Linked DNA regions of Arabidopsis thaliana. The main gene of each other region encodes a partner of the protein of the gene in region 2 in a complex. Each region holds a gene or a part of one and is shown on either strand. Other genes may lie near its edges. The genes, in order: TIM17-2, TIM23-2 and TIM17-1.

Evidence for each region.
Region 1: TIM23-2 (region 2) and TIM17-2 share a complex: the UniProt entries of both Arabidopsis thaliana proteins name them as parts of the TIM17:23 complex.
Region 3: TIM23-2 (region 2) and TIM17-1 share a complex: the UniProt entries of both Arabidopsis thaliana proteins name them as parts of the TIM17:23 complex.

What each region holds. Positions count from the first base shown.
Region 1 is NC_003071.7:15,697,242-15,701,419, forward strand, and holds TIM17-2 (translocase inner membrane subunit 17-2), read right to left. Parts: upstream 2,114-4,178; 5' UTR 1,915-2,113; intron 1,643-1,914; 5' UTR 1,610-1,642; coding exon 878-1,609; 3' UTR 569-877; downstream 1-568. Other genes in the region: AT2G37400 (Tetratricopeptide repeat (TPR)-like superfamily protein), read right to left, coding at 1-125; AT2G37420 (ATP binding microtubule motor family protein), read left to right, coding at 3,309-3,605, 3,674-4,178. UniProt on the Arabidopsis thaliana protein: Essential component of the TIM17:23 complex, a complex that mediates the translocation of transit peptide-containing proteins across the mitochondrial inner membrane. Links the inner and outer membranes.
Region 2 is NC_003070.9:27,381,408-27,385,129, reverse strand, and holds TIM23-2 (translocase inner membrane subunit 23-2), read right to left. Parts: upstream 1,766-3,722; 5' UTR 1,575-1,765; coding exon of another isoform or gene 1,554-1,574; coding exon 987-1,553; 3' UTR 606-986; downstream 1-605. Other genes in the region: AT1G72755 (uncharacterized protein), read left to right, coding at 1,312-1,349, 1,547-1,574; AT1G72740 (Homeodomain-like/winged-helix DNA-binding family protein), read left to right, coding at 2,443-2,592, 2,982-3,196, 3,340-3,424. UniProt on the Arabidopsis thaliana protein: Essential component of the TIM17:23 complex, a complex that mediates the translocation of transit peptide-containing proteins across the mitochondrial inner membrane. Links the inner and outer membranes.
Region 3 is NC_003070.9:7,041,967-7,045,102, reverse strand, and holds TIM17-1 (translocase inner membrane subunit 17-1), read right to left. Parts: upstream 1,476-3,136; 5' UTR 1,367-1,475; coding exon 710-1,366; 3' UTR 511-709; downstream 1-510. Other genes in the region: DRT112 (Cupredoxin superfamily protein), read left to right, coding at 1,830-2,333. UniProt on the Arabidopsis thaliana protein: Essential component of the TIM17:23 complex, a complex that mediates the translocation of transit peptide-containing proteins across the mitochondrial inner membrane. Links the inner and outer membranes.

The DNA.
Region 1 (4,178 bases), on a different chromosome or scaffold from region 2:
GATGTTGATCTGGGTAAGGATCTGAGAGAGAAAGACGAAGGCTTTTTGGGGAAAGATGAAGAGAAATGAGTGAAAGAGAGGTGATTTGGTTGCTGATGAAGCTGTAGCTTCCCTAGAGACTCCATGATTGCAAAGAGAGAGAAAACCCCTAAAAACCCTACAGTGAGATTTGAGGAAGAAGAAGCATCAAAAGGAGCCTTCGAGTTCGAATATGATTCAAGTTACGGCGTCGTTTTTGGTCCCTGAATTTGGGCCTTTATAAGCCCAAGACTAGAAGAGGAAATGTAAATATCACAAATCAAAACGCTGATCTCTTTCCTTAATCCGAATATTGTTGGTGTGACCAAGCTTTTGTGATCCTACTTACTAAGAAGTAACAAGCACAACAATTATCATGAATCAGTACTGCTAAGGATATATGATTGTTGTTAGAACTGTTCATCTTCTGATCAGTCTGAAGATTTCACAAACCACTCTGATTGATCTTTTTCTGAAGTTTTGAAGTACTTGCTGTGACTACAATATAATTGCTGTGTTTGAGTTGTGTGGATGGGCTAAGATATTGGACCAAGGGATTCATTTCCAATGCTCAAACATTTTCCACTGGCGAATATTGTTAAAATCTATAACTACATTATTTAAGAACCAACAATATCTGTGGAATGGTTTCACAAAGAGAATATTCCTAGATTGAGTGCATAAGCTCATTGAAACATAACCATAAGTGAAAAGAGAGAGAACATAGCATGCTGATTCTTCCATGAACAAGAAGAATTCAGCTGAGAACTTAGGATAGACAAAAAGACGACGAAATGGAATTGATAGTTGAGGCAGTAGGTAAACCATTGGATGACAGAGAAATAGATGTCCACAAAGCTTACTTGAACTCAAATGATGGCACCGGAGGAGCATCAAAACTCTCCAACACCTCTGTTTTACTTTCACTGCCTGGTTGCACCTCCTCCTTTTTCTTATCAAAAAGCCCTCCAAACCATGATGATGATGATGATGATGAAGCTGTATTCTGGTTTTGACTCTCTGACCTTATCTGTGCTTGACTCTGCATCTGCCCCATCTGCATTCCTTGCATCCCAGGCATTCCTTGCATTCCGGGCATCCCAGGCATTCCCTGCATTCCCTGCATCCCAGGCATTCCTTGCATTCCAGGGTCCTCCATCATCATATTCTGAGGCTGAGCCAGTACCTTGTTCAACATGATCCCAGCTCCTTCAATCAAAGCAAGCAAAACCCCTCCAAAAATAGCTGATCTCGAAGCAGCACCAGCCCCTTGCCGCATAGACAGAAACCCTCCAGTTGCAGCACCAGCAATGATAGAGTTCCAAGGATCCTCCTTTTGCCTTAGGTACACCATGGTACAGTCAAATGTCGAGAATAAACCTCCCCAAACAGCAAAACTGCCTCCAGTACGAGGTGCGTTCATGCTCACCGATTGTGTTCCTCCAACAAAGCGACTACCTTTAGGAGAATTGTAAGTCCCTTTAATGAAATGAAAGGCAGATCCTCCAACAGCTCCCATACCAAAAGCACCACCGATATCATCGAGTATACGATCAGGGCAAGGCTCCCGAGATGTCTCTGGTGTTCCCATTATTAGATGCCTCAGGCAATGATTCTATCAAACCTGTAATCAAATGAATATTGATTCATTAACAAATAGTAAGAAATTTAGGGTTTTGTAAGTCACTGCGAAATCAACAAATAGATCTCTGACTAATTCCAATTAAATACTGAACATATACAATCGAACGAAGAAGATTAGGGTTTATCAAAGATCCGTACTTTACGATCGAAAGCAAACCATAGAAAAAGGTGGAAACTTTGTGTATAGAAATGAATCTAAGAGAATTGAGAAAGCACTGTTGTTGATGATAGATGAGAATCGAAGAAGCATACCTGAGACTAACGAGGAATTAATCGACGGACGAGTTTTAGAGACGAGTTTGAGAGAGAGAGAAAAAATGAAGGAGGTGCGACGGTGAGCGAGAGAAGGAAGGTAAAAGAAGAAACGGCGTCAGGGTTTATTAGGGTTGGCTAGAAAAAAATAAACAAAAAAGTTACAGCGACCAAACTATTTTGCGTTTAATTTTTTGTCAGCTTTATTTTTCCGACACTGTTGCGTTTTTTTTTTTTTTTTTTAATTTCCCTCTCTTTTTTGCCGGCATCGCTCATTTTTCTTTTCTTTTCGAATATGGTTGCTTTATTTTTTATTGTTTTAGGATAATTTCGTTCAGTAAAATTTAAAAAAGGAGCCAAAAGTTTTTTCAATTGCCCAAACTAGTTAAAAGAAAGACCTGAGAGAGAAAGTAATTAAACCTATTAATAAAAGCCCAAATAGTTAGTAGAAGATTTAAAGTAGAGAAGCCCAATTTGGAGTAGCCCAAGTTTGGAGTAGCCCAAGTTTGGAGTAGCCCATAGACTAAGAAAAGATTAAAGGATGTTGTTGTCTGTTTACCCGTCTTGAACTCACGCTTAAAAGCTCCTTTATAATGCAAGAATGTCATTAACTCTCTTACAACGGTACGTTAGTGTATAATGTATACAGATTGTTAATATATATTGGTCTTCACAAGTTACAACATTTGGATTAATCACACATAGAACAGTTGGAGACTGAATTAAATACTCTCATATTCAATTACAAATTCTTTTGTGTTTTCTTTTCTTTCTCTCTAATTTTGTCAAATCAATGATAATAATGAGCTAATGATCATTTTTTTAATTTATCCATCTCCAATAGTGCTGATTCCAAATTCTTTCCCCAAAAAAAAAGAAGTAGTAAATCCATCTCACATATATATGATTGTATTGGCAAAAGTGTTTATTTAAGAATAAAATCAGAAAGTAGTAGATTTACAATTCCTTTTTTTTTTTTCCCTTTTTTCCATGTTTACAAATCATAAAGTTGTTGGATTATTGGAACAATTTTTTGACTGAAATATTTAATATCATAATACCTGTAAATAAATAATCTAGCAATATATGAATACTGAGACAAAAAAGAAGAAGATATTTGCGACTTTTAAAAAAACTTTTGAAATTAAAGGTAGTGTTGAGCTCTCTAGTAATTCGAATTTGGATCTGCTTCCACTCCCAACGGTTACTTACCCTAATCTTTTTTTGTTCTTCAAATTCTCTCTCAAACTTGAAAAGAAGTCTCTCTTTCGATCTCCAGGATTCGGCTCTGTTTCCTGTAAGTGAATCTTATTTAGAATTCGAATCTCTGGGATTCTGATCCAACCTTTCTCAATTGATTAGGGAATTTGAATTTGATTTCACAGAAATCGAAGATGTCGTTTACGCCAGAGGTGGTATCAAGGAAAAGTGGAGTAGGAGTGATTCCATCACCTGCACCGTTTCTAACTCCTCGTCTCGAGAGAAGACGACCTGATTCTTTCTCTAACCGTCTCGATAGAGATAATAAAGAAGTCAATGTTCAAGTGATTCTACGATGCAAACCATTAAGTGAAGAAGAGCAGAAATCTAGTGTTCCTAGAGTCATCTCTTGTAATGAAATGAGAAGAGAAGTCAATGTTCTTCATACTATTGCTAATAAGCAAGTAGACCGTCTTTTCAATTTCGACAAGGTTGGTTGGTCTCTTTCTCTACTTGATGGTTTTGTATTCAAGGGTCTCTGATGGTGTTTATTCTATAGGTTTTTGGTCCTAAGTCACAACAACGGTCTATATATGATCAAGCTATTGCACCTATTGTTCATGAAGTCTTGGAAGGTTTTAGCTGTACTGTGTTTGCTTATGGACAAACAGGAACTGGGAAGACTTACACTATGGAAGGTGGAATGAGGAAAAAGGGAGGGGATTTACCTGCGGAGGCTGGGGTGATTCCCAGAGCTGTTAGACATATTTTCGATACTCTTGAGGCGCAAAATGCTGATTACAGTATGAAAGTAACATTCTTGGAGCTTTACAATGAGGAAGTTACGGATTTGTTAGCTCAAGATGATTCCTCAAGATCTTCTGAGGATAAGCAGAGGAAGCCCATTTCTTTGATGGAGGATGGGAAGGGTTCTGTGGTTTTAAGAGGTCTTGAAGAAGAAGTTGTGTACAGTGCTAATGATATATATGCTCTTCTTGAACGAGGTTCATCTAAAAGGCGTACAGCTGATACTTTGTTGAATAAGAGAAGTAGTCGATCTCATT
Region 2 (3,722 bases):
ACGGTTGGTCTTTTATGAGTTGTGCTCCTTCCAGAGTTCAGTGGGGTGATCTCCCATAGCGTGTGGGGAGTTCCCTTATCTTTGTATATGAAACATTCTTTTAGTTTTGTTCATGTAAAATTCTACACTTTAAAGAAGACTTGTTTATTGATGTAAAGACCCTCATTCGAATGAAGAAATCAGACGAAATGTCATTTTGCAGGTACATGATCTTCTGAAACAAAACAAAAATTCTAAGCAAGCTGCAAAACTGAAAGTTTAAGGCTTTAATAAAAAGATTAGAGGACACTATTTGTTCTTCATTTAGAGCAGCTGATAAGGTCTAGAGACGGTAAGAGTTTAGAGAAGGTTTGCTACACAATATGCCTGAGACTTGAGAACCAAAAACCACAAAACCAAAAGTGACTGATCCATCATCATAAGCTTGTGAAATCTTGGAGACAAAATTAATAGCTAAGAGCAGAGAACAGTCCAGAGAAATAGAACCAGGGGGATATAATAGGTAACAAAATAACACCATCAAATATCAGGTTAGTACTCAATGAGATAAACAGAGGTATACAATTATGTGAACACACTACACCATCCCAATTAACAAAATGATAAGAAAAAACTTGAGAGAAGAGCTTCATTTTCAAATGTAATACAACACATCAGTTTCTCAACGAATCAAGAAAGAGTTAACATTGATCAAAAACAGAAACATAAAACACTAACTAGAACAAACACACTCATGACAAATTAAATTACCAATCGGCAAAACATTTAATCAGTATGAATATAAGAAAAAGGTTTGCAGGTTATTCTTCAAAGTGAAACTGCATTATGACTTGACATACAGACTTGTTGTACCTCTAGAAACCAAATAAAGTTTTCATTTTTATGATTCCAAGACATACCAAACCTATCAAATTCTCACCATTTCCCCTATCAAAAATTTCAACAACGACCCGAAAAAGAGTCTGCCAATTAGACTCTTGCAGTCTTCAAATGGGCACATACCGCTTCACAATTTGCTTCCCAGCTACAACAGCTCCAGCCGCAAGTCCACCAAGAGCACCAGCTACAGCTGCAGATCTCACTCCTCTCGCCGCTCTACAAACAGCTCCGGTTCCAAGACCAGCCACCACACTGGTCCAAACATCATCTCTATCCGTGGCAGCCACAATACCACTCTCGATCCCTGCGTAAACCAATCCAATGATACCAATCCGATTACCCCAAGTTCGACCAGTTTGACCAGAAGAGTTCAAGATCCTGTTGATTTTGAGCTTAGTAGTGTCGCCAGATTCGAAGCTTTTGACTCCAGTGATGACTCCAACAGAAGCTCCGGCAACGGAGCCACCGAGGTAAGCTGTTCCGGTGTAGAAAGTGAGATTCTCACCCCAAGATCTACGTTGCCTTAAAGCCTCCTCCGTGAAGAGAAACTCAGGGGAGGTAGGAAGCTTGTAAAGGTACTGAGATTTGTTGATTGGGACTTCGTAGTTTTGGTAAGGATTGTAAAGTCTTGTGTTTTCGTCTGACCCATGATCGGATCTGTTATTAGCCGCCATCGATGGAAGAGAAAAGTCTAGGTTTTAAGGATTTTGGTGGTGGCTAGAGAGAGAGAGACGACGGAGAGGAAAGAGAGAGAGAGAAACGTGTGATGATGTGGTTGTGTTGTGTCTCTCTGAATGTTTGGTTTGGTTGCCGAAATGAGAAATGAAACCAAACTAAACTAAAAATCTATGTTTAGGGTTTTTAGGGAAAGACTCAGTCCAGTTGTTTCCAGATACGCGCAGTACCAGATTCGCTTAATACTCGCGTTTACGTTTATTTCGAACTTAACCCCATTTATTTTATTTTCTCTATTTAAACCCAAGTTGGTTTTCTCTTACCACCACACACTGTATTTGCTGATATTTCGAATGTGACCCCATAAGTTTAATTTTTACAAAATTAACCTCTTCAACATTGGACTTTTCAAAGTCATACTTAATTACTTTGCAAAATTGCAATCCATCGTGACAACCAAACATCCTCGAATTTTCAGGTGTTTCTCTTATAATGTCAGAAATATTTTTACGACGAACGAACCTAATTTTATGAATTTTTTTTGTCATCAGTTTTTATTTAGAGAACTAAACTTCAAATAAAATAATTAAGGATTCAAATACAAAGCTTATTTGTTTTTAATTTAAGTCAAAAGGCCAAAAAAAAAAATTCGATTTAATTTCGAGAGCGTAAATAGAAGACAAAATAAAAAGCATAAATTCGGAAGTAAATAATCGAAAAAGTTTTGCAAACTGGAAACCTCCTCCCGCAGTCACACAACTGCGCAGAGCCAAAAATAAACGAAACCTCCGGCGAAAGCTACGGCGAAGAGACTGCGTCTAACTCCGTTTACACGCCGATTGTCTTGGAGAGAGAGAGAGAGCACGAGGTAAATCACGCAAGGGTTAGATGGGAAACCAGAAACTAAAGTGGACGGCGGAGGAAGAGGAGGCGTTACTCGCCGGAATCAGAAAGCACGGTCCTGGAAAGTGGAAGAATATTCTCCGGGATCCAGAATTCGCTGATCAGCTCATCCATCGCTCCAACATTGACCTAAAGGTTTCTCTTTTCTTCACTCACCTCTTTAAAATCACTCTCGTTGAACCATATATTAAACCTAGACATCGAATTTGAGACCAACCCGGAGTGCATTATGTACTCTGTCGTATCTGCTTAGTTTAAGATCCATAAAAAATCAAAACTTTTGGCAATAGGTTTTATTAGTGTTGCCTCTTATCATTGGTTATAGGATTAGAGATTCCTTGGATAGATTATAAGTTTTTTTTTTTATTGATTCAAGTGTGCAATACCTAAAGCTAGCTTGGTTGAGTTGGAGATTTGAGGTGGAAAGAGTAGTACTGTCCTTCATTTTGCTATGGATTTCTTTTACTTGGTGGTAGTCTTATGAAGAAGAGTTTGAAAATTTTGTGTGTTTCAATACTTAATAGGATAAGTGGCGTAACTTGAGTGTTCCCCCTGGTACTCAAAGTTTAACTAATAAGGCACGGCCAGCAAAAGTCAAAGAGGAAGGCGACACTCCGGCTGCAGATGCAAATGATGCTGTCACTATTCCACGGCCTATTCCTACTATTCCACCTCCTCCCGGTCGGCGTACTTTACCTTCTGAGTTGATCCCTGATGAAAATACAAAGAATGCTCCTAGGTTTGTCTTTCTTTGTTCTCTATTTCTCATACTTGAGGCCAGAAAGTATGATGAGAGACTAGTTCCATAAATGCTAGTCTATCAACTCTGAGTAATAATCTTCATCATGTATTGCTAAACTTCTGATATGTCCCTATTTTCAGGTATGACGGGGTGATATTTGAAGCTCTCTCTGCTTTAGCCGATGGTAATGGATCTGATGTCAGTTCCATTTATCATTTCATTGAGGTTTGACAAATTTCTCTCTGCTATTTATTATGCACAGATCAGAAAATTATATGTGCTCGCTTTGTAAACTACTTAACAGATTATTAGAGACATCATCTATATATGTGGGAGGGATAGTTATGTTATTGGCACGTGTAAACTCTATCTTACATTGACTTGTGCAAATGGCTTATTACTACTATCAGCAATCTTAGATGATTCGTCCTTCTCAAATGAGAACACCGAGTTCTAAATGTAAAGTCTTATACTACTAATTATTTGTACTTTGACGTTTTATAGTATGATAATACTTGTCGTG
Region 3 (3,136 bases), about 20 Mb from region 2:
GGAGCTTGCTGAGAGATTTACTATGTATGATCCATTTGAAACTGACAAAGAAGATTCAGAAGACATATTTGTAAGAGAATGTAACAATGTTGATCTACCCTTTATATAATCCACACCTGCATTAATCTCTTTTCTTTTGTACTCTTTCGTTGGATTCAGGGGAAAACAAGACGCTATGAAATAACGAGTACAATAGCATTGGCGGTGAAACGCAATAAGGAAGTCATGTTTCATGAGAGGTTTCGGGAGAATGGTAAATGGAACCCCAATGACTTCACTTTCAACATCGCCTAGTTACAATATGAACTTTTCTGAGTAGTATTGTTGGTACTCTAATATATCTTCCACAACACTATATCTCAAATGTCTAAGCACATATAGTAGTTGTTGGTTCACTTTATATTTTCCATCTATTCAATTCCATAGTATCTCTTTCACTTTATAATCCATGTATGCTTCTCAATTCCAGTGAGAGAACTTGTTAATTTTAAAACTTATACGAGCAACATTATCACAAGAAGTTAACCTTCACGCTAATCATGTTGTAACAATTGGTAAATTATACATAAAACCAGACGGTATTATATCAATCCAAATTGACAATAGTCTCTAATTCATAATATTATTATATAAAACTTATTGCAGAATATATAATTCTAGTTACTAAGCTCTTAACATTAAAAGTAAAATTCAGACCTCAATAATTCCATCACTTAAACTCATAAGTAGGCACAGGAGGAGCATCAAAGCTCTCCAAAATGTGAGTTCTGCTCTCTGAATGATGATCCTCTGTTTCTTTCTTCTTCTTAAACAAACTCCCAAACCAAGATACCGAACCAGAAGAAGAAGAAGAAGTCTCCGGTACCGGTACGGACTGACCAGATATCTGACCCATACCATATGGTAAAGAAGTAGCTGCATGATCCTCCATGAACTGCTCGTTATGCGCAGTACTCTGAACTTTGTTTAACATGATACCAACTCCTTCTATCATAGCCAACAACACACCTCCGACTAAAGCCGATCTAGCAGACGCGCCTAAGCCTTGACGCAACGAGAGGAATCCTCCAGTGGCTGCACCAGATAAGATCGAGTTCCATGGATCTTCCTTTTGTCTTGCGTACACCAACGCACAATCGAAGGTTGAGTAAAGACCACCCCACACGGAGAAGCTTCCTCCGCTTCTCGGCCCGCTCATTCTCAAAGCTTGAACGCCGCCGGAGAGACGAGCTCCGCCGGGAGAGTTGTAGATTCCTCTTATGAGGTGATACGCTGATCCACCAACAGCACCCATCGCAAACGCACCTCCGACATCATCTAGGATCCGATCCGGACATGGCTCTCTCGATGATTCTGGAGTTCCCATTGATTTTCGATTTTGATCTACAAGTAACTTTTTAGGGTATAAGAAAAGAGCCCTTGAAAACGAAACTAAGAATGAGGAAAAATTACAAAAATGGAAAAATATCGTGTTGTTCACGTTACTTGACCATGGTCAAAGCCCATTAAGGCCCATTTGTAAACACGCTTTATCACAAAATACTAATATAAAAACGCCACGTCATTCAAGAACCTTATCTTTATTTAAAACGTGGACAAACATCCTCCACCTCATAATGCCATGTCACGACACAGTATCTAAAATCAACCAATCACAACGCGTCTTTATAGATAACTTGTTTTTTTATGGAGTTTGCTTTTAGAGCCATCCATTGTCCTATCTCACTTTCTCTCTTTCACCACATAAAAACTCATAAACTCGATCGAACCAAAGCTAAACGAAAAACTTAAAACCCAAATCTTATCACTACTCTAAAAGAATCTTCATCATGGCCTCAGTAACCTCAGCCACCGTTGCAATCCCATCTTTCACCGGCCTTAAAGCCTCAACCATCAAATCATCCGCCACCGTCAGAATCCAAACTGCTGCTGTTGCATCACCGAAGCTTACAGTGAAGTCATCTCTAAAGAACTTCGGAGTCGCGGCCGTAGCGGCTGCAGCTTCAATTGCTTTGGCCGGAAACGCCATGGCAATAGAAGTTCTCTTGGGAGGAGGGGATGGGTCGTTAGCTTTTATTCCCAACGACTTCTCTATAGCTAAAGGAGAGAAGATTGTGTTCAAGAACAACGCTGGATACCCACACAATGTTGTCTTCGATGAAGACGAGATCCCAAGTGGCGTCGACGTGGCCAAGATCTCGATGGACGAGCAAGATCTACTCAACGGTGCGGGAGAGACGTACGAGGTTGCTTTGACCGAGCCAGGGACTTACAGCTTCTACTGTGCGCCACATCAGGGTGCTGGTATGGTCGGTAAAGTCACCGTTAACTAAAATGTGTGTGTGAGTAAGTGAGGGAGTCTCGGACTCAATTAGAGGCTCTTCTTTCACATTCTTACATTATTACATAAAGTGTTTTGTAATTCTAAAGAGTGTTGAATCGAATGGACCGTGATTGTTGTTGTACTGTGACTGGTTCCATAAATGGTTTTTCTTGGTTTATATATGTAGTCTTATGTCTCGCCCTGAAGTTATGATTAATTTAAGTAGGAAAGTGAACTGTTTGAATAAGCGCTTTTCATAGAGGTATTTAGTTAGATGGTCTAATTTGAAGAAAATTAGATATATGACTATGGTGCTAAATAGTAGTTGGTAAATAATTATTTTTGTTGCAGATTGACCAAATTATCTCAATGCACTCTTTGGGCTATTGTGTATTTTTAAAAATGTGGCTGTAGATAAAATAGTAAATTATTGGATGAACATGTAATCTCGCATCATGAATAAAAAAGTGCATGATAGCATGTTTTTTTTTTGATTAAACAGTGTTGTTATAACATATTCTTGTTTAAAAGACGCACAAAGCCATTAGTTATTTATGGACAAATTTGTAATCGACCAATTACTTGAAAAATAGAAGGTTTGTTAGTGCAAATTCCCTATTTTGGATTAAATCGAGAGTTGTGGAGCCAGTTGATCTACCATCACAATTTCAAAAATAATCTAAATTACATCCTTACTAAACTAGCTAAGACATGTCACAAAATGTAATAATGTGTATAAATGCAGCATATCAACTTTGCTCATTTCGTCAGAAGGGTTTTAGGCTTTTAGCTATTAGTCTTCCAGCTATCTCA